Oryctolagus cuniculus: one gene and its partners. The protein of the gene in region 2 binds, or shares a complex with, the protein of the main gene of each other region. Links are inferred from orthologs where the notes say so. Each region holds a gene or a part of one and is shown on either strand. Other genes may lie near its edges.

What was found.
Region 1: STRIP1 (region 2) and PDCD10 share a complex: the UniProt entries of both Homo sapiens proteins name them as parts of the core of STRIPAK complex. The link is inferred for Oryctolagus cuniculus from reciprocal best matches to the Homo sapiens genes STRIP1 and PDCD10.
Region 3: the proteins of STRIP1 (region 2) and MOB-like protein phocein are in contact, whole or in part, in a cryo-EM structure (PDB 7K36), measured with the Homo sapiens proteins. The link is inferred for Oryctolagus cuniculus from reciprocal best matches to the Homo sapiens genes STRIP1 and MOB4. Residues at the interface, in NP_149079.2 of Homo sapiens: His108, Asn120, Thr124, Met127, Arg128, Leu130, Asp131, Glu134, Val135, Thr136, Arg141, Glu178, Val179, Glu187, Met191, Asp194, Thr247, Leu256; in NP_056202.2 of Homo sapiens: Ile107, Phe108, Leu109, Ala111, Thr115, Pro116, Glu118, Lys140, Tyr141, Ser151, Ala154, Arg161, Arg162, Arg165, Asn199, Leu200, Ser202, Asp204, Asn205.

What each region holds. Positions count from the first base shown.
Region 1 is NC_091435.1:112,784,058-112,794,492, reverse strand, and holds the start of PDCD10 (programmed cell death protein 10), read right to left. Parts: upstream 4,856-10,435; 5' UTR 4,676-4,855; intron 4,465-4,675; exon of another isoform or gene 3,906-4,464; intron 1-3,905. UniProt on the Homo sapiens protein: Promotes cell proliferation. Modulates apoptotic pathways. Increases mitogen-activated protein kinase activity and STK26 activity. Important for cell migration, and for normal structure and assembly of the Golgi complex.
Region 2 is NC_091438.1:60,285,594-60,295,903, forward strand, and holds the start of STRIP1 (striatin-interacting protein 1), read right to left. Parts: upstream 6,913-10,310; 5' UTR 6,872-6,912; coding exon 6,692-6,871; intron 4,222-6,691; coding exon 4,152-4,221; intron 2,978-4,151; coding exon 2,903-2,977; intron 2,514-2,902; coding exon 2,379-2,513; intron 2,278-2,378; coding exon 2,157-2,277; intron 1,003-2,156; coding exon 934-1,002; intron 1-933. UniProt on the Homo sapiens protein: Plays a role in the regulation of cell morphology and cytoskeletal organization. Required in the cortical actin filament dynamics and cell shape. Part of the striatin-interacting phosphatase and kinase (STRIPAK) complexes.
Region 3 is NC_091440.1:69,969,493-69,980,051, forward strand, and holds MOB-like protein phocein, read right to left. Parts: upstream 4,856-10,559; 5' UTR 4,846-4,855; coding exon 4,168-4,845; 3' UTR 2,273-4,167; downstream 1-2,272.

The DNA.
Region 1 (10,435 bases), on a different chromosome or scaffold from region 2:
TAACAGAACTGGTCTAAAATCTTAGTAACATTACCTATCAAAATAATTTTAACACTACAATAACATGAATATAAGAAGTAGTACATGAAGGGCTGGCACTATGGCGTAGAGGACTAAGCCTCCACCTGCAGTGCTGGCATCCCATATGGGCGCTAGATCCTGTCCCAGCTGCTCCTCTTCCAATCCAGCTCTCCGCATATGGCCTGGGAAAGCAGTGAAAGATGACCCACGCGCTTGGGCACTTCTGCACCCCTGTGGGAGACCTGGAAGGGGTTCTTGACTCTGGATGGGTCCAGCACTGGCTGTTACAACCATTTGGGGAGTGAACCAGCAGATGGAGGACCTTTCTCTTTGTCTCTCCTTCTCTCTTTAACTCTCTCTCAAATAAACAAACAAAATCTTAAAAAAATAAAATAAAATAGTACATCAGTTCTATCTTCCACATACTGGGTATGCTAAGTAAATACGAAAATTTTATCCACCATCCAAATGACATTAGAATTGACTTTTAAGAAAGTTTAAGACTTAGTAAAGAATTATATTCAGTAACAAAAACGGGGAGGGTTATCAATTTTGAAGCCAAATACCAACAATCGCTTTTTCAGTATCTTATGGAAAAGTGAATCAGAAAATCCACGAATATATATAAGGCTACAGCAAATTAGGGCTGTTGAATTTCTTCCATTACTGTGGTACTGTAACAGGCTATAAAATTTGTTTTCAAAACCAAAACCTAACAAAATGTATTCCTTAAGTCTCTTGACTTAAGGCAAATAATACATTACCTGAAGATCCTCTCAATAGTAATGAATTTTTTCAAGAAGCCCAATATACAAGTTACTCTGAAACAAGAACTACTCAATTTCACAAAGTCACCTTACAGAAAGCAAGTGATTAATAAATATAAAATTGACAGGAAGATAGTTAACAACAAGCAAACAAGCAAGCAAACAAAAAGATAAAGAGACAAGGGAAAAAGCACCATCATTTCCATACAGAAAGCTCCCTATCCTGATTTCAGAAACCTCAAATACAAAATGAAGATCATTCTAAAATTTTTATTAAATATCTGTAAAGAACGCCTTTGTATCTATTCTTTAAATTTCTTAAGCATGTTCCCACATGCTTCAATCCTTTATGTAGGCAGGAAGCTTATCTCTTTTATTCATTTCTGAATTTCTGTTTCTAGCAAAGTGAAAGAAACACTGTGAATGAATATACTCATTTATTCATTCAGCAAATATTTACTGAACACTTACATTGTGCCATGTACCATTTAAGTACAGGAGTAGGATACACGACAAATCAGAGAGCCCTGCTCAGGTAGCTTAAAGTCCAGTGAGAGAAACAAATATTTACCAAATAAATCAGAAATAATTAAGATCCTCTTGTGATGATGCCACAAAGCAGTACAGAGTATAGTGAAGATACAGTGGAGACCTATTCTGGTTTTGGAAAGGAGCAGTTCAAGGTTAGGGAAGGCTCCCTTTAGGAATGACATTTAAAATGAAACTTGAAAAGTGTCTAGGATTTGGTCAGATTTGAGAACAGTCCAGGCAGTGAAACAAAACATGTGCAAAGGCCCTGAAGTCAGTAAGGACTTAAGTATTTAGTAACTAAAAGGGCTGACAAATGAGAAAGGCTGGAAATCAAAGCATATTGTCAACAGTAAATAAGAGTCAAAAGGGTTATAACCTTTGAACATTTAAGTCACGTTATGTGTTTTCTCACCAAAAGGAAATAATCTCAGAAACTAAGTCCTATTCCATAATATTAAAGATGCAGTTAGAAGATCCAGATTACCCATGCCTTGTTCCCACCAGTTACCAGCTACATGACCTTGAGCAAGTAAACCCAACTGAATCTCTTCAGTCTTTTTAAAAAGGCACTCAACCTATGCCATCTACTGAGACTACAGTGATAAATACAACATGGCCTCTCTTCTTCTATTTGTAAACCCCAAAATGAGAACAAATGTGGATAACAGTAAAGTGCACACAGATGCACACATCACTCTGTGAACTCTCTTAATTATCCAATATGCAAATGATCACTGTACTCAAGCATGTGGCCGGAAGATGATAAATGTAAGAGAAACATTCCAATGACATTCCAGCAGAGGTGAAATATCAAAACTGAAATGAATCTCAGAGATAAAGAAAAATTCATGGTAAACTGAACCAAGAACAAAAACTGATATATGCTGAACAAGTAGATTATATTAACTTCACTTATTTCCAAAATTTCTCTAGTTCAAAAACTCTTTTCATAACCACACAGCTGCATGCCAAAAGTCAGAACTCATTTCACACCGTGCCCAACAAAAGCAAATATTTACACTGCCATCTAGAAAATGTATTAACATTCTTGCTTACCACCACTTACTAATGCATCTATGGTCTACTTAAACTACTTCACCTTTCTAATTTGACACAAAGCCAGTTAACTCCACACAATTTTCCACCTGTTTGGTTGACTCTTCCTTACAGGTGCACTATTTTGCTTATGGTGCTTATTATTCTCGATTTCACTTGATTCTATACTATCATACCTCTCCTTCCATTTTAAAGTTGTATCAATTTCCAGACCATCTTAACTTCCATAATATGGGAATATGATACATTTGATCCTAGAAAATACTGCTGCATTTAAAAATTACACACATTTAATATTAATATTTATAGTGTGTTCAAAATACAATGTATTTCAATGGTCAACTTAGATAACAATAAACCATGACAGATGATTGCCAACTGCAAATAGATTATTTATGAATATAAACTTAATGTGAAAAAATCCTGACATCAATGAACATATTCCCACATTTCTATTAAAAAAAAAAAACTATTCAGTATTAATACTGAGGAGCTGTCCTGGGTCGTAACAATTACAGGAGATAAGACTGGGAGAGGTGCATTAGTTTCTACTCCATATGAAATGTGTCCTGCTTTTCCATTCTTTAATACAAACTAAGAATGAATTAAAAGTCACAGATAGGGGCTGGCACTGTAGCGCTGCAGATTAAAGCCCTGGCCTGAAGCGCCAGCAGCCCATACGGGTGCCAGTTCTGGTTCCAGCTGCTCCACTTCTAATCCAGCTCTCTGCTATGGCCTGGGATAGCAGTAGAAGATGGCCCAAGTCCTTGGGCCCCTACACCCACGTGGGAGACCTGAAGGAAGCTCCTGGCTTCAGATCAGCACAGCTCCAGCGGTTGTGGCCATCTGGGGAGTGAACTGTTGGATGGAAGACCTCTCTCTCTGTCTCTACCTCTCTGTGTAATTCTTTCAAATAAATAAAAATAAATCTTTAAAAAAATTTAAAAAGTCACAGATGATGCTGAGAAAATTAAAATATGTAAGAGCCTCATTCTTTTATTTACACACACACACAGAATCAAAGAGGGGAGAAGCAAATGAATCACAAAAATATGTTACCTCCAAGAAATGCAATGTTATCTTCTTTTCTAGTAATGAGCACACTAAACTCTCCTTAATGTTGCATTATTTGAAACAAAAAAAAAGTGCACAGTAAGTTTTGTTAAAGAATTCCATCCCCACTGTTCTCAGTTTTACAACATGAGAGTGGAAAAACCACCTAAGGCAGGAAGGGAAAGGAATATATCCTTTTCACAGTAAGGATGGAATACACTGTTTAAATGACTTTCTCCTATTTCACTATCTACTTTTAAAAATGGACTGTGGGAGAAGTCGATCGTTAATATAGCCCCAATAAAGGACAAAATACGTAACTGATACTGATCCTTTTTATTTTTCAAAAAGGTCAGAGAAAGTGCTTCAGTGAGGAATTTCACCCCAGTTTAGAAAAAAAAAAAAGAGAGAGAGAGAGAGAGGGAAAAAAAAGTCACCCTTCAATCACTCATAGCTTCTTAGAAATCCATAAAATACCATTACTGTGTCACTTCCTCCACCTTCCTCAAGAAACACGGCCCGTCTCCGCACTTTGTGACTCCGCCGGCATCTCTGTCCTGTTCAGGACCAAGTCCCTGCCTGTGTGACCTTGGGCACGTCATTTACTCCCTCAATTTCTTCAACAGCATCCTGACGGGAAAGCTCTTCGAAAGCAGTTCCAGCCGTAAACAAACCTATCTTGGGTATCACACCCTCAACAGGGTCGAGCGGTTCTGCTCAGGGACCCCATCTCAAAACACTCAGAATCCGCCGATCTGTCAACATCTGACTCTTCCTACTCCGTTCTCCTTTTCCTTCAAAGGGCATAACCCCAGTCACCCCGGAGCGAAGACTTCCAAGCAACCCCTCCTTCCCCAGCCACACTTACGAAGCAAGGGGGAAACAGCAGCCTTACCTCTCCCGCCCCAAGCCACACCTTCGGAGGACCCCACCCCAGGCACATCCGCCCTCTCTCCTCTCGGGGGGAACCAGAGGCCAACCTCGCCCTTCCCCTCCGCCCCCACCTAGAGCACACTTCCTGGAGGCGTCCAGGCCCGAGCGGGGCGGGCAGGCGGCATTTACAAACCCGCTTTACGCCACTCGCGTAGGGTAACCTCGCTTACGCCCATAGGGCCCCGCTCCCAGCCCCGTCCGCTCCGCCAGCCAGTACCAAGCCCGAGTGCCTCAGCCCCGGCCCCTGTGTGACCCCAGACCTCTTCCACCGCGCGCGGAGACACGGGGATAGGGGCAGAACACCCGCACCTTACCGGCAACTGAGGCACTGACTTCACTTCCCACCTTTGGAGCCCTCTTCAACTCCCGGATCAATTCACTCCGGCGACGCCGGAAGGACCCGAGAGGAACCAGGCGTTGTCCGGAATCCTGCCCAGCCGGAGAGGCGCAGTGGCCTATGGGGACTCGTAGTCTCGCTCGCCGGCGTCGTCTGCAATTCCTGCGCTCCTAGGACTACACTTCCCGGCAGGCCATACGGCAGAGCCTAAGGCGATGGGTGGGGACACTCGTAGCCAATAGTAGGAGAGTTCCCGGCCTTTGCGGGAGGAGGTGAGAGGGAGAGAGAGGGTGCAAGGCTAGGGGAGGAAGGGCGGGGCCGGCTCTCACCTGCGCCAATCAGGGTGCAGGGTCGGCCCCGTAGGCGCCTCACCCAAGGAGGGGGCGGGCTGCCGGAGGAGAAGACGGAAGCGGGTGGGGGGGCCCGAGGTAGGGAACGTGGGGCCGGTGGAATGGGTCTGCAGCGCGGGCAGAGAGGGAGCCTGGAGTGCAGGGAGTGCGGGGACGCTCCGCGGCCGGGATAAGCAGCTCCGCCAAGCCCCAGACCCGCAGGTTGGGGAGCGATGGGCTGAGCCTGGGCTACCTGCGGAGGCGCCAGGGCGCGGCAAGGGAACAAGTCCAGGTGTGAGAGCGGGGAGAGGGTGGGAGGAAAGGGGGACCCCCGGTACGAGGGAAGCGGCTGGAGCAGCTTCCAAAGTGCAGGGAGCGGGCAGGGACCCGGGCGGCAGCAGCAGGAACAGCAGGGGGAGGAGCAACAGCTGCCCAGTTCGCCAACTGGAGGAGGGAGAGGCGGAGCTTGGGTCCCGGTGGAAGCCGAAGGCGCAGCCTGGACCGTAGTTTCCCGGGAGAGACCCGAGCAGGAGCGGGAGCTGAGCGGAGTGCAGTCCCTTCGAGCCTCAGCTCCAGCCGTCCGCCGAGGGTGGCAGGTGTGCGGGAGGTAAGCGTGGGCGCGTTTTCCGGGGCGTCCGCACACTGCCCGGGAGGAAGCGTCTTTGCACAGCAGTTGCAGCAGGGCACAGCTCAGACCGTCTGCCTTCGGCTGGAAAAACCGGGGCAAACCCTTTCGGGTGAAAGATGCACATTTTTGGACTTTGAGGAGGAAAAAAAAAAAAAAAAGAAAGAAAGGTCGCTTGACCCTGGGTATAAAGGGTGTGGTTGGTGTTTTTGGTTTGAGTTGCACGATTCAAACTGTTGTGGGAGGTCTCAAGATTGAGGGAACCCCTACTGATTGAGGACCGGGTGGACGGTATTCTGGATCGGTACGTAGCTGATGAAAAGCAAACGTCTCGTCGTTGATACAGAATTACTTCCGAACTGTATCCCTAGAAAATAACTTTGCGTTCTTCTTCAGCGTCTGCGGGTACGTTGGATGCTGAGATTGTCCGCTGCGGACCTGTTATCCAAGGTGGTTGTAATGCAGGTCCGTAGAATTCCGAGATCTGTATTAAGCTAATGCAGTCAGGAACAGCGGGATAGGATGGGTGCTCCCTGAACCTGTGGGAAGTATAACTTTTGCCAGTAATAGTGTAAAAATGTGTTTTAGTGGATGGGCACTTAGCTTTCCTTCCAGCGACTCTGGAATATTGGAACAAAGACCTGGACTCAGCCTACAGTGGGAACATATGGTGTACATCATTGCTGCTCCTTATTCGCTCATTTGTGTCCAGTGATATGTGTACATTTCAGAAAACAAGAGGACAAGGAAAGCTGTCTGAGGATCTTTTCTGTGTTTAGTGCGTACGTGCTAAATGTTTACCCTTTGTATGAATTATGATGGGTTCCGGTTAAAAACATCATAAAATAAGAGTTTATTCTCAGAATTAAGCCATGTGTATATTTCTTTGAGTGTAATTATAATAGTACTTATGGGTGGAAATATGGTGTAGATGGAAATATGCTGAAGATAAAAGGTGCATCTAGCTTTGTGTAACTGACAAAAATTGCAGGCTTTTCTCTTTAGAAAAGTAGTAGGATCTATCTGGTGAGTTCATTTTTCATTTTCTTTTTGTTACAGAGTTCCCCAGATTACATGGCTTTTAATCATAGTAGGGTATTGCAGCACATTTTGTTCTGAAATGCCTTTACTGTGATAGTTGTATATTTCAGTCTGGGAATACTTTCATCTAGGTTTTTTTGAACTAGGGTCAATAAAATGGAGTAATTATCTTTTATTTTCCAGTTTTCCTGATTTACCTAGGATTTTCAATTTTATTTTTGTACTGCACACATTTGTTTTTGAAAAGAAATGGCTCAAAGGAATTCTCTGTTTAAAGTTCAGTCCTACTGAGTGCTACTACTGAAAAGCTTAAGTGACTTACCAGTATATACATACTCCATCTTTCCCACACTCACACTGCAGAACTATGGAGACAGACAAATCTTAGCAAAATAGCTGCTCTTAGATTGACCCGGAGCTGATCAGGTAAGTATTAGCAGCAACAAAGAGCTTAGGAGAATGAAAAAGCCACTGTAGCCACTAAAATTAGCAGCCATGGTAAGAGTCAGATTTTTATCTTTGCTACACCATTGGAGAATCTTATTAATCCACATAGCTGCTATGACTCTGTAAAATTATTTTGGTAGGAAAAACTGGGTACTAGGGTTTAGTGAGGCTTGGAAAAAGATCACATTTGTCCTTGTTATTTGTGATTAAGTGGATTGTCCTGAATCAGAATCTTCTATTCTCTTGTAGTCTGTACTACTAATTCATTTTATGAAACTCAATATTTACTGTAGCCAGGTTATTTCTCTCATGTATTAGTAATAGTAATGATAATTCATTTTATACTGGCAACGGAATTCTTACAAAGCCTTTGTCAAAAGATATTTTTGCAAGAGTTTTGTTGACAATAACCAAGCATATGAATAGAAAATAAGTATCACAAAGGTTGAAATTCAGATATACTTTGAAACCCAACTCTTTACAGGTCTTCTGCTCTGAGGTATATAAAAAGATAAGAATCTCATCAGAAAGGGATGAGTTTGTAGTATTAAGGTACTGAATTTTTCACGTTTTTCCAAGGTTTTGATCCTTTTTATTGTGTCATTTAGAGAAATTGGGTTGTTGTATCTTTTGAGAGTAAGAAGATCATGCTTTTATGTGAGAGAAAAACATTAGCAGTGTATGGTGCTTAGACATTTGTTTATTACCTTGAACTCTTGACTGATCTTAATTGATATTCACATTCCATCTTCAACTTTTCTTGATTGATGTTGAGAAGTTCACTATATATCACTTTATAAGTATATATAAAATAATACCTATGTTAAAAGCATATTTACATATTTTCTTGATTTTTGCTGCTACATTTGTCTATCAGTGAATATATGATATGTAGAGAAGGAAAAGCCACAGAGTACAGAATGTCTCTCTTGAATGCAAATTGCTCTGATGTTATTCTTTATCCAAAACTTGGTTAATTTCAAATTACAGTATATCTTGGATTCATCTTTCAATTTAAAATTCTGACTCAAAGCTTATTGAGTAAAAATAATTGAGTAGCATAGGTTTCTAACAGGAGGATTCACTGATGCATGCAGCATAAAAGAACAAGCTCTAAGTGGTCAAATTCTAAGGGTTTTGGTGAGGAGAGACAGGAGGATAGACGTGAAGAAAGCTGAGAAACATACCCTCAGCAAGAATGAAAAGAGATGTGATACTTTTTGTTAAATGCCTATGAGGGATTCCATGCCCTTTTCATTCCAATCATTGATCTCTAGAGACTACATCCCGTGGCTGGAGACATTATTTCAGAATTTTCATTTTAGCTGGAATCAGAGTGATATTAATTCTTTAGATTTTGAGTAATCATAGGTTATTAAAGTATTAAAGATTCTATATGTATGCATTCAGTTGTAAGTAAAACATTATTCAGAAAAATGTGAAAATGAAGTGAAAAGCTGAAGTAGTGTTTTCCATCTTATAACAGAGATATTTGAACCAGAGAAGAATGAGCCAGAGAGCCCTTTCCTTTGATTTTCTGTTGTTTTCCTGCCCTTTTCTTCTTGAATTTTTTCCATCCCTTCCTTTCTTTCCTTCTTGCTTTCTGTAAATTCAAAAGATTAAAGGAATCATGATCAACTGTTTTGTTTGTTTTGTTTTGTTTTTAATCTTACCTTTAATATTTCAAGAATTTAGTCTTTAAAGTTTGGAAAATGTATTTCATGTAACAAAAGTATTAGCTTCTGGAGACCACATATGTTTTCTCTCTGGCTAGTCTTGAGCATTTTATGTCATGCTCAGCATAACCACTTACTGAATTAGAGCTGTTGGCCAACAATAATGTATACCTTGATATATTTTGCACTTTGATAGACCAGAGTCAGTTGACCTCACAGAAGGATTACTATGCTTAAGTCTTTCTGAGAATGTCCTGTTCTACTTAACTTTTGCAAAAGTATTGATTGAACAAAATTTGATTCAGAGTGTGAGTACCATGAAGACATCATAACATTGAGTGTCAGTATTTTTAGATTCATCTCAGAGATAGGGAACATGGATGAGAGGAAAGGGCTCTCCTACTGGTGGCATCCTAGGTCTACATTATATAGCCAGGGAATCACAGACGTGGCGTTACCACCATTTAACCTTAGGTCACTGGAGATGCTATGTTTATTGAAGCTTACCTTGAGAAAGCATATTTCATTCTATAAATACTGAATTTGTCCTTTAATTTTTCTGTTAAGCCTCTACCATAAAAGACGTTAGACTGATTTTGTTTAAGTGCATGTGGAGTTGGGCATTTATTGTTTTTGCATTTGACCTTCCAGAAGTAAATTAATCTGACTAGTGTTAGAATTAAGAATTCAGTATGTTTTCTCCCTCATGATTTGAAGACCTGAACAGTTCTAGTTCACTGTTCTTTAATTCTTTCTAGTGAAATTAATAGAGGCAGATATTTCACTGTTTTTGTTTGCTTTTTTAGCTTACTTAATACTAGCATGCTGATGGTTACGGATTGGTTGAGAACTGATGATTAATCTTCCTCGTTCATATTCCTTTGGCTTTATTCTGAATGGTTAGCACTGTGCTTTGTGTAGTTAGCTGAGTTCATAACTGTCTTCTTCACCAGATACGTAGTCTCTTTAAAACTGAGATTCACTGACCTTTGGACTTAACCTTGAGAGTCTTACACATGGTCCACATTGTGTAGGTTGCAGCGGTTTAACTGTTTGGCAACCTGTAATGAAGCATCAATTTTACAAACAAGTACAACTAGAAGAATGAATTTTTCTCAGACATATATTTTAGGACCAGATTTAGTCCTATGCCCACAACAGTTGCTGATATTATAGTTCTGAATGAATAGAGCAAAGAATGCTATTAACTGCAGTCTTGTATCCATATATGTGCTTTAGATACAGATTTACTCATTGGATACCATTGGAATTTTGGTGGTCTCTTCTGTCTTTGCATCTAAAATTCTGCTGACTTTAAGTAACATCTGCTATACACATACTTTTTTATGCCTTTTTTTACCTAACACATAGAAATAAAGACAGAAAAAAACAGATGAAAGTAGTATGAGGCTTTATCTTAACTAAAAATTAACTGGTATTGAATGTTCTATTTTTAGTTAAATAGTTACTAATGGTTAATAAACCTGAGTCACAAGGGTATATTTCATCTTTGGGCCATTTTAGGGAAGAGATACATTTTAAAAGCAGGTGTTAATGGCCCTCACTGCTGGCCTTCAGTGCAGCTGAACTGCTGAAGCTTGCGTGGTTCCTGCAGCTCC
Region 2 (10,310 bases):
CATAAAGGAGTAGGCTGGGGAATCTAGGGAGCAGCCCTGGCTTCCTTCATCCCAGCTCACGTGGGATAATACAGGGAACACCGAGAACAGAAAGGGGAGAGCTGAGAGGCCCCCGGAGCAAAGGCAGGCTTCACTCTCCCCTCCCGGTGTTTCCGTCACCGTTTCCCGCTGTGCTGGCTGGGGGACCAGAGCTTACTCTGTTTTCTCTCTCCAGCGCCTAACAATGTGCTCACTCAAAGCAGGTGCCTATTCAAAGGCTGCTCAACGAGTGACTTTGAACAAGAATGGCCAAAAGCACTGACTGCCACAGGCTTCCCGGCAAGAGAAAACAAACCCAGAAACGGGAGTGAGCTCTGAGGGTCAACACAGGACAGTCCCGGGGAGAGCAAGGACAGCGTTTACCGTGACAGGGCGGGAAGCGCGAAGAGAACTCTAACTACATCAGGGACACCACAAGCGCCCCGCCCGGACAACCTCCACATTCACAGAGCCAGGCTCCAACCCTCAAGGACGGCAACGCGATCTGCTGTCCGGCAGCCGCTACCAGTCCCTTGCATCCATGACCCATTACGAAGCTGGCAGGCTCAGTCAGGTAGATGGGGCTCCAGCTGGGCCGGCCGCAAAGTGGGGGGCCAAGGCGCAACATGCAACACGCAAATACAAAACACCCACCAGCAAGTCCTCCGCAGCAGGCCCACACTTCTCTGAGGCTCCAAGAAGCGCCTCGACCCTGGCTTTCCTTTGGGAGTCTCAACCCAGAGCCCCACCGAGGTAGGGTCCTCAGCAAGGCCCACTCATCAATCACACTGAGCCCATCCGACCTGAGACACCTGCAGGTCTGCATGTGCAGAAGGGACGCATACTCAACGAGGAAACCAAAGGCACCGCCCAGAGCCGGCCCTGCCAGGAGAGCCCAGGCCCGCCCTTGCTCACCTCAGGTCTGTGCTGTCCGCCAGGGAGATGGCGGGCTTCCTCACGGCACTGCTGCACGCGGCGCTGTTGCTGCAAAGGAGACTCGAGAGTCAGCACTTGGCCCAGCCAGGCGGAGTGATGCCCTCAACAAGTCCCACCCAGTGGGGGACCACAGGGCTGTGACATGTGCTAAGGCGGCACAAGAGGCCACGCGGCACAGTGGGGCCGGTGCTGTGGCATAGCAGGTTAAGCCACCGCCTTCACTGCCGGTATCCCACATGGGCGCCGGTTCATGTCCGGGCTGCTTTGGTTCTGATCCAGCCCCCTGATAATGCGCCTGGGAAAGCAGTGGAAAATGGCCCAGGTGTTCAGGCCCCTCCCCCCATGTGGGACACCTGAGGAAGTTTCTGGCTCCTGGCTTTGGCCTGGCCCAGCCCTGGCCATTGCAGCCATCTGGGGTGTGACCTAGTGGATAGATCTTTGTCTCTCCCTCTCTTTCTCTGTAACTTTGCCTTTCAAATAAATAAATACATCTTAAAACAAACAAACAAACAAAAAGCCCACCAGCTCAGGCCTGGACCAGACTGCAAGGTTTGAATCCTGGCTCCAGCACTTACGAGCTATGCAACCTTGGGCAAGGTACTGAACTGCCCTGTGCCTCAGTTTCCTCTAAATTGGGAGTGACACAGGACCCAGGACCCATGTCATTAGCATGAATTAGATCTACAGTCTCCTTCAAACAATGCCTGGGACACAGAGGCACTCGGCGAGTGTGCTTAGCGCTTATCCCTGATGACGCTATCCTCACACGAGCACAGCCAACCTGTCTATCAAACAAGGCGCCGGCGGTGACACCTGCCAGACAAGGCTGAGGTTGAGCCCACCACATGTCACACTGGGTTCTGGCCTCCTGCTGAGGGCAAAACTGCAGAGCAAACAAAATGGAGTCAGCAGGAGCAAAAGAGGGCTCAAATGCAGAGCTTCTTTTGAGGGGCACCAGAGGCCTGGCACGGGCACTGCCTGACTTGAAGGCGCTGCTGGCTTTAGGGAGCTGCAGGCATTAGGGTTGGTCCCTAATGGTGGCAGCTTCCAATTATGAAACCCCAGAGGTGAGAACAGAGCCTGGGGGGAAACCCTCAGCCCAAGTGGCCCGTTTAACCCCTTCAAAGCCAGTGTGTTCTACAGACGGTCCTCCGTCCAGCCCTGCCCTCGCCTCCCTACTCAAGCCCCGCAGAAGTGCTCACTCTATTTCCATGTTCAGAAGCTCCACCAAGGCGTTGAACGTGCCCACCTCCAGCAGCAGAAAGATGTTGTAGCGCATCCAGAACTGCACCTCTGCCTCCGAGCTGCACTCGCCAAAGGTGCCTGCCAACACACGGCAATGCTCGCCAAGCCCACCCCCACGTCTGACTGGGCGACGTCACTGGCAGAGGCGCCAGGGGACCCAGGCGAGGCCCACCCAGTACCTTGGGCAACGTAGAGAATTGCTCGAGCCACCTTGAGTCTCTTCTCCCTGGCAGTGACTTCCAAGCCATCCAAGAGCCTCATGGCATGGGTTCGGTGCTGGTTGGTGTCCAGCTCGGTCCACTTTTTGTCTGTCACTGCAGGGCAAGACACCAGTGATACCTGAGCCTAGAAAAATGCTCACAATGGAAGAGACCCGCTGTTGATCCACCAAATTCAGGATTGCCATAGGGGTGGAAAGACCGGTGACTCTGTGGAAGGGGCAAGGTCCGACTGCTGCTCTATGAATCGGAACTTCCTGACCCAAACACTACAGTCACACAGATTCTTCCCCAGTGCTCACATTCTGAAAAGCCGCCAGCAAAGGCCCACAAGGCGACTCTACGTGCTGCACCCGGCCTGGAACAAGTCGGTCCAACAGGTTTCTCGGGCCATTCCAGGATGACTTAGGTCATCCAGATGACTAAGAGAAACTGGAGCTCTTGCAACGCCGGTGATGAGCCAAGAAATCAGGAAACCACCTCACCATGAGTCCTGAAGTCTTCCTCGAAGCATTTTCTGTTCATCAGGAATTCCGGTCCTTCCGTGTAGCTGTAAAGCTCTGTCAAGAACAGAGTCTCGTCACAGCAGCTCCACACCTGCTTCCCCAGGGGACTCCCAAGTAGCCAGCAAGGTCAGGTGTGTGCTTCCGGGACCAACTCTGCCCCTGCACCCGTCGACTCCTGGCCTATGCTAATCACTCGGGGTGGGGGTGTCTTAGGGCGCTCGGGTATGTAATGCAGAGAATGCTGACTCCCCCTGCAGCTGAAATCCAGGACACCGGAGAAGCATAAATACAGGCACTTCCATCTGATACGCACCGATCCACCATGCCACGCCACGCCACGCCATGCCATGCCAGAGGTGAGCGCCACCTTGAAACTGTCTCCCCAGTGCTACCTGCCAACTGACCCGGGAGTATGGAGGCTGGAGAAGCAGCTCACATTGGACTTAGGTCACACAGGAGTGGCTGTGGCAATGGCAGATCTGCACACATGCAGGCGTGTTTGCTGGTATCTCCCATGACACACTACTGTATGGGAGGCGACTGCTGGGGGACAGTGTATGGCCAAGGAACATTACCATGTCACCCTGGGACTAGGCCCTAGCCAACTGAGCTGAATACAGAGATGTTTCAGAAAAGTAAAGAACAGGGCTGGCGTTGAGGCCTAGCAGGTTAAGCCATTGCCTACAACGCTGGCATCCCATACGAGTGACAGTTTGTGTCTCAGCTGCTCCATTTCTGATCCAGCTCCCTGCTAATGTGCCTGGGAGAGCAGCAGAGGATGGCCCAAGTGCTTGGGCCCCGGCACTCACGTGGGAGACCTGGATGAAGTTCCAGGCTCTTGGCTTTGGCCTGGCCTAGCCCTTGCCATTGTGGCCATTTGGGGAGTGAACCAGCAGATCAAAGACCTCTCTTTTTCTGTCTTTCCCTCTCTCTCTGTAATTTTGCCTTTCAAATAAATTAATACATCTAAAAAAAGGAAGGAAGAGAGAAAAAACAAATGAAAGAGAGAAAGAGAACAAACAAAAGAACGATCGAACCCAGTTTCAAGGTACACAAAACTTAAACAAAATAACATACTATTCACATATATGTATGCATACATATGTGTGTGTGTGTATCACTGATACAACTAAGGAAAAAATGATTCCAAAATGATACACATTGTAAATCTCCGTAAAGACCAATATGGAGAAAACTGCCCCCAGATGACAAAAGGACTGTGCTTTACCCGACAGCTCTGCGGCCCACTTGTCTGTGTCAGCATATTCAAACTCAAGGTCTGGTGACTCGGAGTAGCCCTGTTGACAAAAGGAGACAGCGTTACGCGTACTTTACAAAGCAGGAAACAGAAATGCACCCAGAGCCACCACTGTTCCCAGGAAACCACTGCCTCCCCTTTGCTTGCTGTTCGATCACCATATTTCGTCTCCTGGGCTAGCCCCGCGCTCCTCCCCACCAAGCCGTCTCAGAGCACCTTATCCTGTCCCTCCAGAGCGCCTGTAACTACTGCATGTGGGGTCCAGTTTCCACCTCGCCACGAGACTGCAAGGCCCTTGAAAGCAGGAAGTCAGTCCACGTTGATCAGCAGCGATTTCACAATGCCCAGCACAGTCCTCCACTGCTTTATATTCAAATCCCTCTCAAATGAACGAACACAAAGCTTCCAAGTACGTTGTGCCCTGAAGCCACTATTCCACAAAGTGCTAGGATTCCAGAATCTAGGCAGCTAGTGGGCTATCAACCCAGCATTCAAACTCTTAGTCTCTCGCCCTTGTCTCAAACTGCAGTGAGAACTGACAGAGAAGGCAGCAAACAGATGGGCCCGCCTCCCACACACAGGAGAATGCGACAGACCCTTTTCACTGCTGGGCACAGGTGATTACCCAGAACACACCGTCCTGTAGGCCTCGCGATAGCAGAGTGGTGAAGAGAGCGGTTCCCACCCTCAGTCTTAGGTAACATCTACAACAAGAGCTCTGCCCCTTATTCCGAGACAACACACGACCCCTCTCCCAAGTCACTGAGCTTCGCACTTTCCTTTTTAGAAGATTTACTTTACTTAGTCATTTGAAAGTCAGAGTTACAGAGAGAGAGAGAGAGACAGAGAACGAGAACTTTCACCCACTGCTTCACTCCCCAAATGACCACAACAGGCAGGGCTGGGCCAGGCGAAAGTCAGGCACTTCATCTGGGTCTCCCACACGGGTGCAGGACCCCAAACGCTTGGGCCATCTTCCGCTGCTTTCCCAGGCCATAGCAGAGAGCTGGGTCAGAAGTGGAGCAGCTGGGACTTGAACCAGTGCCCATATGGGATGTGGGCCTCGCAGGCGATGGCTTAACCCACCACGCCACAGTGCCAGCCCCAGTTTCTTCCTTTTTGGAATGGGGATGAGGAAAGTCTACCCTGCAGGTTTTTAAGAACCGATCAGGATTATGTAGCACAGAGCGCTCTCGGCAGAGATCAGCCTCCCTATCTCCCAGGCATAGATCCAGCTCCCAGCTACTGCCTTCCGCCTGACTCAGCCTCTGCACCTTAAGGAGACACCTGCAGACAGTCTCCTGGCCTCCCGTGGGTTCAGTCTCGGTGGAAATGAAAAGGTAGTAAGAGACGTGAAAATGCACCCAACGGTATTCAACTGGTCATGGCTACTCAGGAAAATGTAAAGCCATTTTCAAAAATAACCCCTCTCAGGATGAAGGTGGGCTTACGCCCCTCACTCTCACAACCTCCCCGTGCTTGAAAAAGTACTGAGTCGTCCTCCTGGATGTCCCACCACCCACGGGTCCCACAAACGTCGGTTTCCTTTGCTTTTCCAAAGAATTCACTTCCAGCTCCAACTCTGAGCTTGCCAGTGTTTTACACCAGAGGTCTGGGGTTGCAACAAAAGCACAGAAGACGGAGAGGAGCTGATCCTGCACGTCCAAAGCCAGTATCCCGGCTCTGCGGCGGGGAAGAGTGGGGACACTGCGCCTGGACAGCGATGGCTCCCTCTCACTCATCAGCGCCAGTCGGCGGAGCGGCCCGGGATTGCGTCAGGTGAAGGAGACTGCATAGTAAGAGCTCTGGCACGCGCTGATTACGATGCCCTACAACGCTGCGACGTGCGTCTTCATTCATGAATCTGCGCAGGGAAGCGGTAGGAGCAACGCCTTCTCTCGGGGCGAGGTGAGCAGTCAGCTGCTCCCCAGCCGGCGCCCCTGGAACTCGAGCGAAGCCTGGGTCCCCGGCACGAGTGCGTCTAATCCTTTAAGGGCCCCCAGCATCGGGCGCTCTGGGCACACCAAGCACTGCCAACCCATGGCCGGAGCCTGCACCAGAGGCAACGCCCCCTGCTCTCGAAAGCTCCGGCCTCGCTGTACTATGAGTGGTCATTAGCTCCATCCGCCTTCCAGGCGCCTTGTGTCTAAACCCTCGCCAGCCGCCTCCCTGCCCGCCCGCGCCGTCCGGTCGGCGCCCTCCACCGAGAGGATAAGAGACTGGGGGCGCCCGCTTTTCATCGGCGGCCGCGGCGGGGGCGGCTTGTCCGCGGGAGCCAGCGGGTGGATGCCGGCTCCGGGAGCCTGTCTCGGGCGGCGCTGCCAGCCTCACGCCCCCGGCCCGGGGAACTGCCACACCAGCCTCGCTGCCTGCTCCTTCGGCTGTAAAGTGACAGCTCCCCGGTCCCGCCCCGCCGAACCCCCCGGGAAGCCCAGCTCGGCCGCGAGCGCGAGCCCGGGCCCCCAGCCGCCGCCCGCCGGGTCCTAGCCTCGCCCCCAGAAGCTCCTGACCTCCGAGTCTTTGCGCTGGTTGCGGTTGAACTCGCGGGTTTTGCCTCCGGGCAAGAGGCCTCCGCCCGCTCGCGGTGCTCCAGGGGGAGGCTGCGCAGCCGCGGGCGGTGGAGGTGGCGGCGGCTGAGGCTGTTTGTTATTCACAATCAGAGGGCCTGGACCACCGGCTGCCGGCTCCATCTTGGCTGTTCCACACCCCCGGCTCAATTCACGAACAGTCCCCGGGATGCAAATCTCGCGTGACTTCCTCCAGGAACGCTCTCTCTGTTCGCCATATTGAGTGTGGCGGCAAGTGCGGGAAGCCATCTTGGCTGCCCGACATCTCGCGATATTTCTCCTGGCTGAAATACTGGTTTTCTTGGTCTTTTCAGTTTCTGCTCTTTCTCTCCAGTTCTACTCAGATGTCGTTCTGTGTGTGAGGCCTGCTCTATCTCGTTCAGTCTGTTTAGCGGCCCCCCTCTTTCCTCTAAAATCGATTTACACTTAGCAATGTCATAGCAGTGTTCAAAACTTAGGGATACCGTAGGGAACAAGATGGATAAGACCTTTTCATGGAGTTTGCACTCATTTGGGGTAGCCATGCACGACTAAATCAATCACAGTGTGGCACGTGCACTCATTGTCTGCTATGCTTAAGCAGTGAGATAGCACAGAGAAAACTCCCAGTCCATAAATGCCTAGTGGGCCAAACAATGAACAAAAAAGGGTGATATTAGAGAAATAAGGCTGTGAGGTATTCGAGGAAAAGGTATTCATGACACTTGTTAAAGATATCAGGGCAGAGCCGGCGCCGTGGCTCAATAGGCTAATCCTCCACCTTGCGGCGCCGGCACACCGGGTTCTAGTCCCGGTCAGGGCACCGGATTCTGTCCCGGTTGCCCCTCTTCCAGGCCAGCTCTCTGCTATGGCCAGGTAGTGCAGTGGAGGATGGCCCAGGTGCTTGGGCCCTGCACCCCATGGGAGACCAGGAAAAGCACCTGGCTCCTGGCTCCTGCCATCGGATCAGCGTGGTGCGCCGGCCGCAGTGCGCCGGCCGCGGCAGCCAGTGGAGGGTGAACCAACGGCAAAGGAAGACCTTTCTCTCTGTCTCTCTCTCTCACTGTCCACTCTGCCTGTCAAAAAAAAAAACAAAAAAACATTTAAAGATATCAGGGCAGAATTTGTTCAACAGGGCACAAGTATAGGGGCCACTGCAACTTTGGCTTGCCTTAAGGGAGAGATTGAACCTAACTTTGCCTCCAAAAAGGACAAGTGAGGATCCGTGGACCAAAAACTACTAGGAGGAAGCATCAAGGGTAAGGTTTCTGACTAAGCTGACTTGACAGGATTACTGCTGGGGGCAGCCAGAGTACTGAGACATCAAGAGTGGTCCCACATCAAGGGTGAGTTTTTTGTTAAACTGACTTTGCAGGATTCTTGCTCAAACTGGATTCAACAAGGACAGAGAAGGGAGCCCCAGTTCAGGCCTGGTCAGGCAGAAGACTCAGGAGCCTTAACAAAGTTTGATCCAAGGAGAGAAAAACAAGAGTAAGTATAAGGGATTATGAGGTGGCAAGTGGGGGCTGGCTAATGGGTTAAGCCACACCTGTGATGCCAGCATCTCATATGGGCATTGGCTCAAGTCCCAGCTGCTCCACTTCCAATCCAGCTCCCTGATAACACGCCTGGAAAAGTGGCAGGAGATTCTATGTATGGTTAGTCCAGTACAAGGGAGACCCAGATGAAGCTACTGGCTTTGGCCTGGCAGAGGCCCTGCAGTTTTGGACATTTGAGGGGTAACCAGCAAATGGAAGATTATCTATCTATTTCTTTATCCCTTTCTCTTTGTAACTCTGCCTTTCAAATAAATAAATCTAAAAAAAAGTGGCAGTGTGTGTGACCGTACTAGGTAGATTGCCTAGTTAGGCAGCCATAAAGATAGCATTTTGGATAAGTTCTGCAAGAAATGAAAGATCCAGGGAGGGAACATGGGCAGAGGGACCAGCTAAGTGCAGAAGCCCTGAGGTCAGTGTGGCTGGAACTGAGCAGAGGAAGAGCAGGAGTCAATGAGAGCTAGATGATGCAGGGGCCAGGAAAAAGCAGAGCCTTGGCACTTAACTTGGATCTTGTTCTAAGTGACATGGAAAACCATCAGTGTGTTAATCAGGTAGATGTCGTGGTCTGATGTTTAAAGATCAACCTGGCTGCTTTTGGAGAAGGGATTGGTGAGTTGTAAGAGTGGATGAGGGTAGACAAGTCAGGAGATGAGGGAGATGGCCATGAGGGTGCTTGTACCAGGATGGGGCATTGGGTTGGTATAATATTTCTATATTGTGTAGGTAGAGGTGGCAGGATTGGCAGATAGGCTGGAATCTTATCAACTGGATAGAGCAATTAAGGCTGAGTCCTAGATTTTTGGGTTGAACAACAAGGGGGATGGTTGTATTACTTTATTAAGAATATTTAAGATGGGGGGCTAGCACTGTGGTGCAGCAGGTTAAAGCCCTGGCCTGCAGCGCCAGCATCCCATATGGATGCTGTTTTAAGTCCCAGCTGCTCCACTTCCAATCCAGCTCCCCTGCTTGTGTGCCTGGGAAAGCAACATAAGATGGCCCAAGTCCTTGGGCCCCTGCACCCATGTGGGAGATCCAGATGAAGCCCCTGGTTCTTGGTTTTGGCCTCGCCCACCCCTGGGCTGTTGTAGCCATCTGGGGAGTGAACCAGCAGATGGAAGATTCTCTCTCTCTCCTCTATCTCTCTCTTAACTCTGTCTTTTAAATAAATTAAATAAATGAAAAAAATCTGGGAAAAGGAAAAACTTGTTTCAGACATGTCAATTCTGACTTGTAGATTACACATCTTAGAAGTGATATGTACTGGCCGGCGCCGTGGCTCAATAGGCTAATCCTCCACCTGCAGCACCGGCACCCGGGGTTCTAGTCCCGGTCGGGGCGCCGGATTCTGTCCCGGTTGCCCCTCTTCCAGGGCAGCTCTCTGCTGTGGCCCGGGAAGGCAGTGGAGGATGGCCCAAATGCTTGGGCCCTGCACCCCATGGGAGACCAGGAGAAGCACCTGGCTCCTGCCTTTGGATCAGCGCAGTGCGCTGGCCGCAGCGCGCCAGCGGTGGCGGCCATTGGAGGGTGAACCAACGGCAAAAGGAAGACCTTTCTCTCTGTCTCTCTCTCTCACTATCCACTCTGCCTGTAAAAAAAAAAAAAAAAAGTGATATGTAATAATTACTTGTTACTGTTACCTGCTGCTGTGTTGTGGAATCCTTAAAGACATTTTTAGCCATCTTGGCTGCTGTGGTTTGCACCTGTCCCACAAAGTTCATGCAACTTAATCCTCAGTGCATAGTGTTGAGAGGTGGAACCATGGGAAGGTGATTGGGTCATGAAGCCTCTCCCCTCAAGGATGTATTAATGTTATTACAGGAGTGGCTTTAATTTCACGGGAGTGGGTTTCTGATTAAAGGATGACCTTGCTCTCCTCCCTCTTGCGTGTGCACACACACACACACACACGCTCACATACATGTGTGCACTCTCTTGTCTCTCTGCCTTTGACCATGGGATGATGTAGCAAGAAAGGGGTCATTGACCTTGGGCTTCCCAGTCTAAAAGGAACTAAAAGGAACAAG
Region 3 (10,559 bases), on a different chromosome or scaffold from region 2:
CACCAAGACTTGATTTTCATCCAATTTTCTGGGACTTAAAACAGAAAGCTTGCTTGAGGAGAAGGTGGTCCAGTTGTTGCCTTAGGATAAAGTGAAGAACCTCCCTTGGCATTCCTACCAGTTCTATCCTCCTAAGAAAGCCAGTGTCCCTGGAGTGTTCCTGGGAGGAGTGCATCCCCATATCACCTTCTCCATGCTCATACAAGCACACTTCAGGATAGGAATCCTGTTTGGTGAACTGTTACACAAATTGGTATCATCAGCTGTCTTTCCTCACTTGCTTTGTGGACAGCCTTCTGATGAAAACAGTTCCCTTATCTGTTTAAAAGTACTGAGAGATTCCACGGTACAAGCATTGCCAGTTTATTAGCACATTCTCCCAGTGAAGGGTAGAAATCGCTCTCTGTTTGTTGTTCCCTGACAAGCCTGATTCTGTAACCAGGGTCCTACTCAATATTTTTGATAACTTGATTTTCTGCTGAATGTTTCTGCAAAAATTCTGACTCATCGTGGAGAAATGGGTTTGCTGGAAAAGTCTTTATGTGCATTTTCCCCAATGCCCTGAGTCTCCCTCCACCCTTGCCATTGATCTCATCAAATCACATGGTTAGAGAGTGGAAGGTGATGTGCAGTGGGTTTAATGGGTTGAAGACTTCCCCATGTGCTTGAAAGCAGTGTGAAGGCACACAGAAAAAGCCCTGTACCAGTGCTCAGGATGGAATTCTACTTTTGTTTCTACTTAACAGTGTGGTCCAGCTTAAGTCATTTGCCCTTGTAGGGTTTAAGTTCTTCAGATTCAATTAGGTGGTGGGGTAAGGTGAAGCTTCTCAATCTAGGCAAGCTGAGCGTCTCTCTCACAGAGCAGGCAAGGGTTCTCCAGGCTAAAAGAGAAGCAAAAAGCATGTTTCTATGATATGTGATACTGAACTGTTTTAAATTCAAACTTCCTTAGGCATATTATGGCATACAATTTAAAATCTGTATGGATAAAACTGTGACACAGGAACCCAAGGAAGTTCCCAGTCATGGTTGCTTGTTGTGGTTCTGACTGTTTTTTCTTATAATTTCTTGAAAACAAAGCATGGAAAAGAAGAATTTGGCCATTCCCCCAGCAACTCTAATGAACAGACCAGGGCAGTATTCATTCCAAGTGCACCTGCTTCTCAGTGAAGCCATAGTTAAGTTTCTGAAAAAGGATTTGAAGCTAAAGTTGAGAAATTTCAAGTCAATGAGTATGTTTTAATGGGCATTACCCTAAAACTCAGTCTTGAACTTTTCCCCTCCCATGTTACGTTACTTGGAATACTTCATTCATGTAACAGGTGTTTCTTGAATGTCAGCTCAAGGAGAGAAGCAAGAGGCAAATCATGTGAGAGACAAGAGTGAGGCCCGAGGTGGAAGTGTGTTCAGCATGCAGAGGACAAGAGGAGGCCAGTGCCTGTGCAGTGAGGAGGGAGGGCAGGAGAGATGGTGCTGGATAGGACCCAGACCCTGTGTGAGCCCTGGCCCAGACCCATCTAAACCAATCCAGTTGCATGGATCACTTAAGGCTTCCTAGATGACTTTCATCACCAGTATGAGTTGAAAATCACTGATGTGGGGTCTCATTGGCTTTCACTCTGAGTAAGATGGAAAGGCATTAGTGAGTTTTTTAAAAACTTTTTTTATTTCTATAAGGTGAACAAATTTTATGTGTTTCATATATACAGATTTAGGAACATAATGATACTTCCCTCCTAGCCTCCCTCCTACCTACAATCCCAGCCTCCCTCCTCCTTCCTTTCTTACTTTTTCTTTTAATTTTCACAATGACATACTTTCAGTTTATTTTATAATCACAAGCTTAACTCTCCACTAAGTAAAGAATTCAACAAGTAGAAAATAGAAAAAAAAACCACTGTTGATGTGAAAGGCACACACACACAGAGAGAGAGAAAGAAAAAGAGAGAGACAGACAGAGAGAGACACAGAGAGAGAGAGAGACAGAGAGAACTCCATCCAGATCTTCCCTGTGTGTGGCAGGGACCCAAGTACTTAAGCCATTACCTGCTGGTTCCCATGGTGCAGATTAGCAGGAAGCCAGATCAGAAGCAGAGTAACTAGGATTCAAAGCAAGCACTCCAGTACTGGATGCTGGCATCCCAAATGGCAACATAACTGCAGCACTAAACACTTGCCCCCTCCACCCTGCCTTTTTTTTTTTTTTTTTTTCTTTTGGAGTTTTTTTTTTTCTTTTATGATCAATTCCAAACACAGTACAGGGAAGATGGAATGAATACGAAAAAATATCATTTTATTTCCCCATTAAACACTAAGTCATATTATTCAAAATGTGTTTCAAAATCCTTAGCCAGATAACCAATTCCAGTCACTATTTTAGTTCTAATGTTCACCAAGAAAATAGTCAAGTAACAGAAAGCCATTATGAGAAACCATCAAGAGAGAAGAGCTACATTGCTATCTATAATTTAACTTAGTAGGTTATTCTCTCAATATTCAGCAAGTTTGCTTAAAAATTACTATTCCATTAGTTTATAGTGACATTAAAAAAAAAAAACGTATAATTTCAAACTCAACATTCCTTTCACCGTGAACATAAAACTTCTAAAAGATAGCTGTGAGTTGGGGTACAATAAGGACTGTGGCTGCTGGGACAGTACTGTTCAAAGCCAAAACGATTGGCAGCCTTGGAAAGGCATAAACTATATACACACACTCTCAGTATGCTACTATTTCTCATATTTTTTTCTTTGCATACTTGTCTCATAATATGGTATAAATAATTTCTTTGAAGACAATCAAGATGAATACATTTTCATCTTCATTTCAAAATAACTATTTTAAATGAAAAATTTTCTCACATTTGTTAAATATGTCTTAGAGATGAGTTTAAGTATTTTCTTCACTACATGTATAATTTTTCTACCCTATCTTAGTGCCTCATTACAATCAATTTGGCAATAAGACCTCTCTAGTACTCCATGAAAAACTGCATTCAATAGATTATAAGATCGTTACATCTGCACCCAAATTCTTATATGCTACAACAAAGTCTAAAAAATGTATGGCCATTCATCAACACCCTTGCATCAATTATTGCAAATAACCTCACATATGTATTTAATTCAAATTTTGTGGAGAAAGGGTACAAAATAAATACTACAATATTTCTTTAACTCTAATGCTGCCTAGAGTAAGATGAAAAGATTAATATTACTGAGAGGAAGAATCAAATGGCTTTAAGGTCTGTCTTCCAAGTAGTTAGAAAATTTTCACAAAACAAAGAGCCTATGCCAACACATCTTTCTTGTAGTGTAATATAATTGCTAATATGAGGTAAATCTGTAAGCAATTAATACAAACATGAGTATAAACAGGTATAAGTCACCACTAAGTCACAGTCTGGTGAAAGACTTCTCAGCTAAAGTATCTGGGGACAGGATTATGGGAAGTGAGAAGGGGGTGAACAGTTTTCCAGTGGGAATACCTTTTATGTGCCTTATCATTAGCATCAACTTATATGTAACAGTCCACTGCTGTAAAAAGGTATATCCTTTCCAAGTATGCTGGCCTAGAATATACTTTATATAGCATAGTAAGATTATATAAGAATTACTAATGCTTCATTTGCATTTATATTTGGATATACACATAATCATAAATGCATATCAAAAACTATAAACAGAATTTTAAAGTACTTTTATCTCATTTTGGAAAAGTTTACAGTTTATGTTCTATAGAATTTTCTATAATATCTAAATTCAGGGACAAAATGAAAGGAAAACATTACTATCTCTTTAGTAAATGGTTTGTGCAAGACCTCAAGCTTACTCATCTTTTTATATATGGGTTTATTTGATGAGGATTGTAATCCAATGATTGTTTAGCAGCAATTTTACCAAACTGTAAATTCTTTTATTAACAGGCATTATAAACAGATAATACTAATCTTATTTAAAAAACCATGAGTGCCACACCGGTGAATATACAGCTTATGAATAACTTAAAAAGTATTTCCCCTTTTAAAAGGCAACACACAGCATACAAAAACCTAATCTAAACAAAGAAGCTATAATATGAATACATGATTGATGTGTCTAAAATGATATATACAGTACATAATGAACGTTAATTATGTGATCAGTACATTTTTCTGTACGATTCCCTTCATGCTTCACTTTCTCCAGAAACTGAATTCTGAACTTCCTCTTCTAAAATTGGTACAATCAGGTTATCCTTGGACATCAAATTGTATTTCATCACAAATTTAGTAAACCGATGACACAAAAAGGTTTCATTTTCATATTCATCAAATATCTGCCGGTGATGAAAATAAGCATGCGAAAATATTCTATAAATCCTACGGCATACTGATCCTAGTTTTGCTACAGATGATTCCTTTATGCTAACCCTGCTAGGAAAATATTTATTGCTATTCAGAAGACATGCAGCACCATCAAGCGTGTGTCTAGTATAGTCTATAGCAGGACACTCTTTTGGAGTTTTATGAGCTGCACACAGAAAAATCCACTGTTCAGTTGCTGTCATTTGAGTACAAGTATCTGGATGGCATTCACTCTGAAGTTTGACAGCAAGTCCATTTAGCTCAAGACAGAATTGCCTTAAATGTTCATACTTCCATACACCTTCATCTTGGCCTTCAGGTGGTTCAAGAATTTTATCAATATTGGAGCAATCTGCTCTTATGTTCTGCTGAATATACTGCTGAACAGCAAGTGTACTGTCCATTTCATCAAAGGATTCATCAGGCCAATTATAGAAATCCTGCGCCTTGGTGCCCGGCCTGTTCCGCCTCAACACTGCCGTCCCCTCCGCCATGACCATAGTGCCAGAATCTCCACCCTGCCTTTTAAGAAAATTTCTATTCATCTGTGAGTTTTTGAACTCCTGTGACCATGCATCACTCTGGACTTATGTTGAGAACTGACCCCAGGGAGGCACGCATGGGTGCAGAGCAACCTGGTAGGAGATATGATGGTGCTTGGCTGCCACAGGAATGCTGTAGTCATACCATTAGAATCTGGATACACACAGAGGAAGTGAGGGAGGGATGCAGGAGGGGAGGGAGAGAGGAAGACAAAAAAGAATCTGGATATTCTTGCTAAGGTAGAGCCACCAGGAGGAATGGTTGCCGAGTGAGAAACAAATGAAAATTATATATATATGTGTGTGTGTGTGTGTGTGTATTATATATATAAAAGTGAGAACAGTAAATGTGTTTTTAAAAATTTTATTTTTTAATTTTGATTTTCAATTAGTTATAAGCAGTCAATGTAACATGTAGATACAATTCTATGAACATAGTGATATTGCCTTCCTCCTTCCCTCCCTTTCCCTCTCTCTCTTGCTCCAAAATCTCTGAAATATCCCAAGAAATCCTAAAGAACACTAGCCTTTGACCATTAGTTCTGATGTTCCCTGTCTTCATGATGCAGTTTATTTTATTTCCTTGAAAAGTAGAGTTGCAGAAAGAGAGAGAGGGAGAGATGGGAGAGAAAGAGATCTCCCATCTACTAGTTCACTCCCCAGATGGGTGCAAGGCTGGTGCTGGGCCAGGCTGAAGTCAAGAGCCAGGAACTCGGTCTCCCTCATGAGTGCAGGGACTCAAGCACTTGGGCCATTCTCCACTGCTTTCCCAGGCACACTAGCAGGGATCTGGGTCAGAAGTGGAGAAGCCAGGACTCCAATCAGTGCCATAATGGGATGCCGGCATTGCACGTGGTGGCTTAACCTGCTATGCCACAACGCCAGCCCCATGATGGCAATTCTTACCAGTGTCCTTGGCCATGGCTGTTAGTACTGGCATGTCAGCTCTTTCTCTCTGGTAATTACATTGGCAGGACTCGGTCTTCCTGTATTTTCTCTTGTGTGAAGCCTGAGACTACCCTTTCAGTGAGCTTCAAAATTTGCATGTTGGCTGCAAAGAGAAAAGCCATTTACTGCTTCCCTGAGAAGTTGGCTGGCTTTTTGCAATAATGGCTTTATTTGGACACATGTACAAAGACTTAGAAGAGTAAGCACAGTCTATCAGAAACTCTCCTGAACAACTCTGCTAGCATCAGACCCTTGAAAATGTTAGCAAGTGTTGTCAACTGTATTATTCTGAAATGAGCGTGTCTTTCCAAAAAGGATTTGACCTTTACCCTTCAAAACTGTGACAGTAAAAGTCATCACTCATCTGCTTTTCCCATCTCTGGGTCTTTCTCCCAGCTCCTTAGTGAGGGGTTAGGCTTGATATCCAGGAAATAGCCTTGAAGTCCTCCGAATCATTGAGAAGCACGAGGGGAGGTGGGAGGCCGTCCCACATGTGACCACGTTTTAGGGGATGTGGTTCCAGTGCAGCCAGTCTTGGGGCTCCAGAAAGTGAAGCTCAGTAAACTTCGTGAATCCTGGCGCGCTCTCCGTGGCCAGCCCGCTTTCCAGGGTGTTGAATGTCTGGCTTGGCCCTTTGTTGTGTTTAGCTAAGCTCTCAGCCTGTTTTAACACGTGGAACCTCCTGAAACGTGAGCCAGAGAGCCTCACAGATCTAGCTCCATTTCGTTCTGGTCTGTCACTTCGGTGTTAGCATTTTCCTCACTCTTGTTTCCAGTTTGAGTCATGAAACCATTTCAGTTCGGTTTTAATAACCTCCCTGGCATGGCGAGCGCTACAAGAGCTGCCAAACTTAATACGTCGCCTCCGTGGGATGAGGGCAGCCGCTCTGGCCAGGGGACCGGGAGGTGGATTTTCTCTCAACGCATCCGTTTTCCATTACGGCCCGTCCTGACTTGGTAGCGGGAGGCCAGGTGCAGCTGGTTTCCTCTTCCACACGCAATCACTTCTGACTTCAGTTTCTACGTTTCCCCGTCTCCTGACCCACTCGTCGATCCTCTGACTGAATCGGCTACCTCAGGAGCCGTCTTCCTGCCTGAGGAGTGCATCCCGGGGCTCAGCCGCGGTGAGAGGACAGAGCTGCACGCTGCAGGACAGAACTCTGCCCGGAGACTTGCACGCGGGTTCTGGCAGCTCCCCGGCCACCATAGAGAGACAGCTGCTCCGGCCCAGAGAGTCGTCTTTGTGGAGCAAACGCAGCACCCCCTTCTGAAACCCTTCTGCTTCTGAGTCCAAACCTATGCCAGTGAGCACGGCCCTCAGCGCTGCTCCTATGCCTGCTAACAAAGGCCCGGGCAGGAGACCAGGACCCCATTGTTCATCCTCAGGCCTGCCTCACAGTCTGTGTTGCAGACACTGACACACTCATCTCATTGAATAAAGGACACAATACATTTTCATTTCTTCTGAAATGTTCAAATACATCATAGATTTCATGGATTGCTTTACAATGTAGAGACACCCTCCTACAAGTTAAAGAAACACAAGAGGTTCTAAATTTATGAACAAATAGGTTAAATTGCTTGGTTGACAAATAGAGTGGCCAGAAGAACCTTTCAATAGCTGTACTCTAGTGGAATAATAATGTACTACAATGTCTTTATTCAAACAAGGTGAGCTATTCCTGTAGCAGAAGCAGTTAGTAAAAAAAAAAAAAAAAAAAAAAAGGTGAGAAACAGAGCCAAAAGGCTGCCCCAAACAGGTGTATAAATTTTCGTTTGGGAATGTAGCCACCTATGATGTTCTTTGGAACCTCAGCTTAATCTTAGAAAATTTCCACTAAAAGTCTCCAAGAGAATTCAGTGATGGGGCCACGGGGTAGAGTTTCCTTAGGTTTTAGCTGATCTTGCCACACCTGTGTTTGTGGCATCTGGAAGGAGAGACTGCAAGCCCCATAGGTGGAGGGAGGGCATCCACCTGGGGTCTCATTGTCTCGCAGCTCTCAGCTTTAGGTGGTGGGTGAGTGGTGGGTGACACAGGCTGGAGGCTGCCGCTTTGGTGAAACAGACCGGGAGCGAGGTGCCGCTCTGCTGAGTGCAGCTGAAACCTCACCAGTTTCTGCCCTGCTCAGAGCAGTGTATCAGAATGCAAGAAAACAAAAAAGCTGCTAGTATGGGGAGGTATTGGGACTGAGCTCTGTGCATTTGGTTTTTAAGTTTCTTACTTAGCAGTGTTGCCTATGTTGCTATCTGCTCACTTTGACTCCTAGTGACTTGGTTTTTACAAACCTTCCTCCCTGAGACAGCTACTGGTGTAATGGGACATTGCTCGCTGCCTCTTAGCACCCAGAGCCCAACCAGCCAGGGCAGCCTCAGCGCAGGACACTTCCTGGTCTCAGCAGGTCCCAGCAGGCTTCCCGTGGGGACTGAGCCACAGGAGGCAGCACGAAGGGAAGCCTGTGGCTGGTTTTTTTCTTTGTTTTGTTTTAAGATGCATGGATTTCTTTTCTTTTCTTTTCTTTTCTTTTCTTTTCTTTCTTTCTTTCTTTCTTTCTTTTTTTTTTTTTTTTGACAGGAAGAGTGGACAGAGAGAAAGAGAGAGAGAGAAAGGTCTTCCTTGGCCGTTGGTTCACCCTCCAATGCCCGACGTGGCCGGCGTGCCACGGCCGGCGCACCACGCTGATCCGATGGCAGGAGCCAGGTGCTTCTCCTGGTCTCCCATGGGGTGCAGGGCCCAAGTACTTGGGCCATCCTCCACTGCACTCCCTGGCCACAGCAGAGAGCCAGCCTGGAAGAGGGGCAACCTGGACAGAATCCGGCGCCCCGACCGGGACTAGAACCCGGTGTGCCAGCGCCGCAAGGCGGAGGATTAGCCTAGCGAGCCGCGACGCTGGCCATTGATTTCTTTTAAAGGCAGAGTTGCACAGATAGAAATGGCCGCAAAGGCCAGGACTGGGTCAGGCTGAAATGAGAAGCCTGGAACTCCACCCATGGACGTCAGGGGCCCCAGTTCTTACACAATCTTCCTCTACCTTTCCAGGTGCAGGGAGCTGGATCAGAAGTGGAGCAGCCAGGACTCAAACCAGTGTCCACAGGGGATGCTGGTGTCCCAGGTGGCGGTTTGCCCCCACTACTGCAAAAACATCAGCCTCTTTGCAGGGTCTTGAAACTCTTCTCAAGAGGAGTTTGAGCTGGATCTGCTGGCCTCAGGCTGCCCCCAGGCAGGTGGATACCCATCACTCCGATCCTGCCTCGTTCTGGTTTTGTTTCTTTGCCTGTTTTTAACTTATTCCCTTTCCCATGGTTTTCAAAGCACAGGACTTTTCATATTTCTGAAATATCATAAAACATCCTAATTAGTCATCTCTGTCCTGTGTCGCCCAAGATAGCTGGACTGTTGTTAAGGGTTGAAAACCCAAAGTTTCATTTGCAGACCTAGCCAAATGTATTTATGGCAAGATAAAATGACACAAATTCTTCTGCAATATTGAAAATTATTTTTAGGGGCCGGAGTTGTACGGTAGTGGGTGAAGCTGCTGCCTGTGGTACCGGCATCCCATATGGGTGCCAGTTCCAGTCCCAGCTGCTCCACTTCTGATCCAGCCACCTGCTAATGGCTTGGGAAAGCAGCGGAGGATGGTGAAAGTATTTGGGCCCCATCACCCACGTGGGAGACTTGGAAGAAGCTCCTGGCTCCTGAGCTCAGCCTGATCTAGCCCCTGCTATTGTGGCCATCTGGGGAGTGAACCAGTGGATGGAAGATATCTCCCCCGGCCCCTTAGCTCTGATTTTCAAATAAATAAATCTATCTTAAAAATTATTTTTGAATTTACCAGAAGCACTCACTGAACTTTCTGAAGGGAAAAAGAAAATATAGCAACAAAAAGAAATCTCAAGAAAATGAACAATCCGATGATTTTCCGGCTCTTCTGCACTCTGTAAACCCAGAGGCCCTTTGTGAACTTTCCTTGAGTGGAGGCTGATCTGGAATGTGGGTCGGGGGCTGCTTTGGGCCAGCAAGGTTGTGTGTCTGAACAAAGGGGGAGAATGATCCCATATCGCAGAAGAATCCTCAAGAGAGAAGAGTCAAGGCAAAGTTCAGGGCTTTTCAGGGACCCTTTAGGGAAAGGAGGGAGGAGGTGAGAAAGTAGCAGAGGGGGCAGAGGAAAATTAGACTGGGGCTACTTCAGGGAATCTCCTCTAGTCAGAGGGATTCTCTCCTTTCCTTTACATAACTCTGGGTCTAGATGCAGACATTCTCCAGGTTTATTATTTGCTATCAGGGCTCTAAGTGTCATGATTTAATGCCAAACGCAACTTAACATTTTCAAGAAATCTGATTGCATTTCTAAGAAATTGCCAAAAGGGTCATTCTCCTGTCTCCTAATATTACTGTGCCTGTGGAGAAAGGAACAAAGGCTGGGTTAAAACAAAATGACAAGTAATGAAAAAATAATTTTTCATTTTTGTTTAGTATAGGCAACTGCACTTGCTGTAGTGAGATAAAATGATATGCACATCCAATAATTCTTCCATCAAGAGCTCCTCAGTGAGGGGAAAGTCCTCATTAGTACATTGACAAATCACAGTTCTGGAAAGTTTATTTGCATGGCCAGATGCAAAGGATCACCCGTACGCATGGCAATTCAAGAACAGAGGAGTCAATGAGTGTATTTAGAATGTGCATTCCCATCCTGCCAAAGAATCCCCCTGTCTGTGAATGGCAGC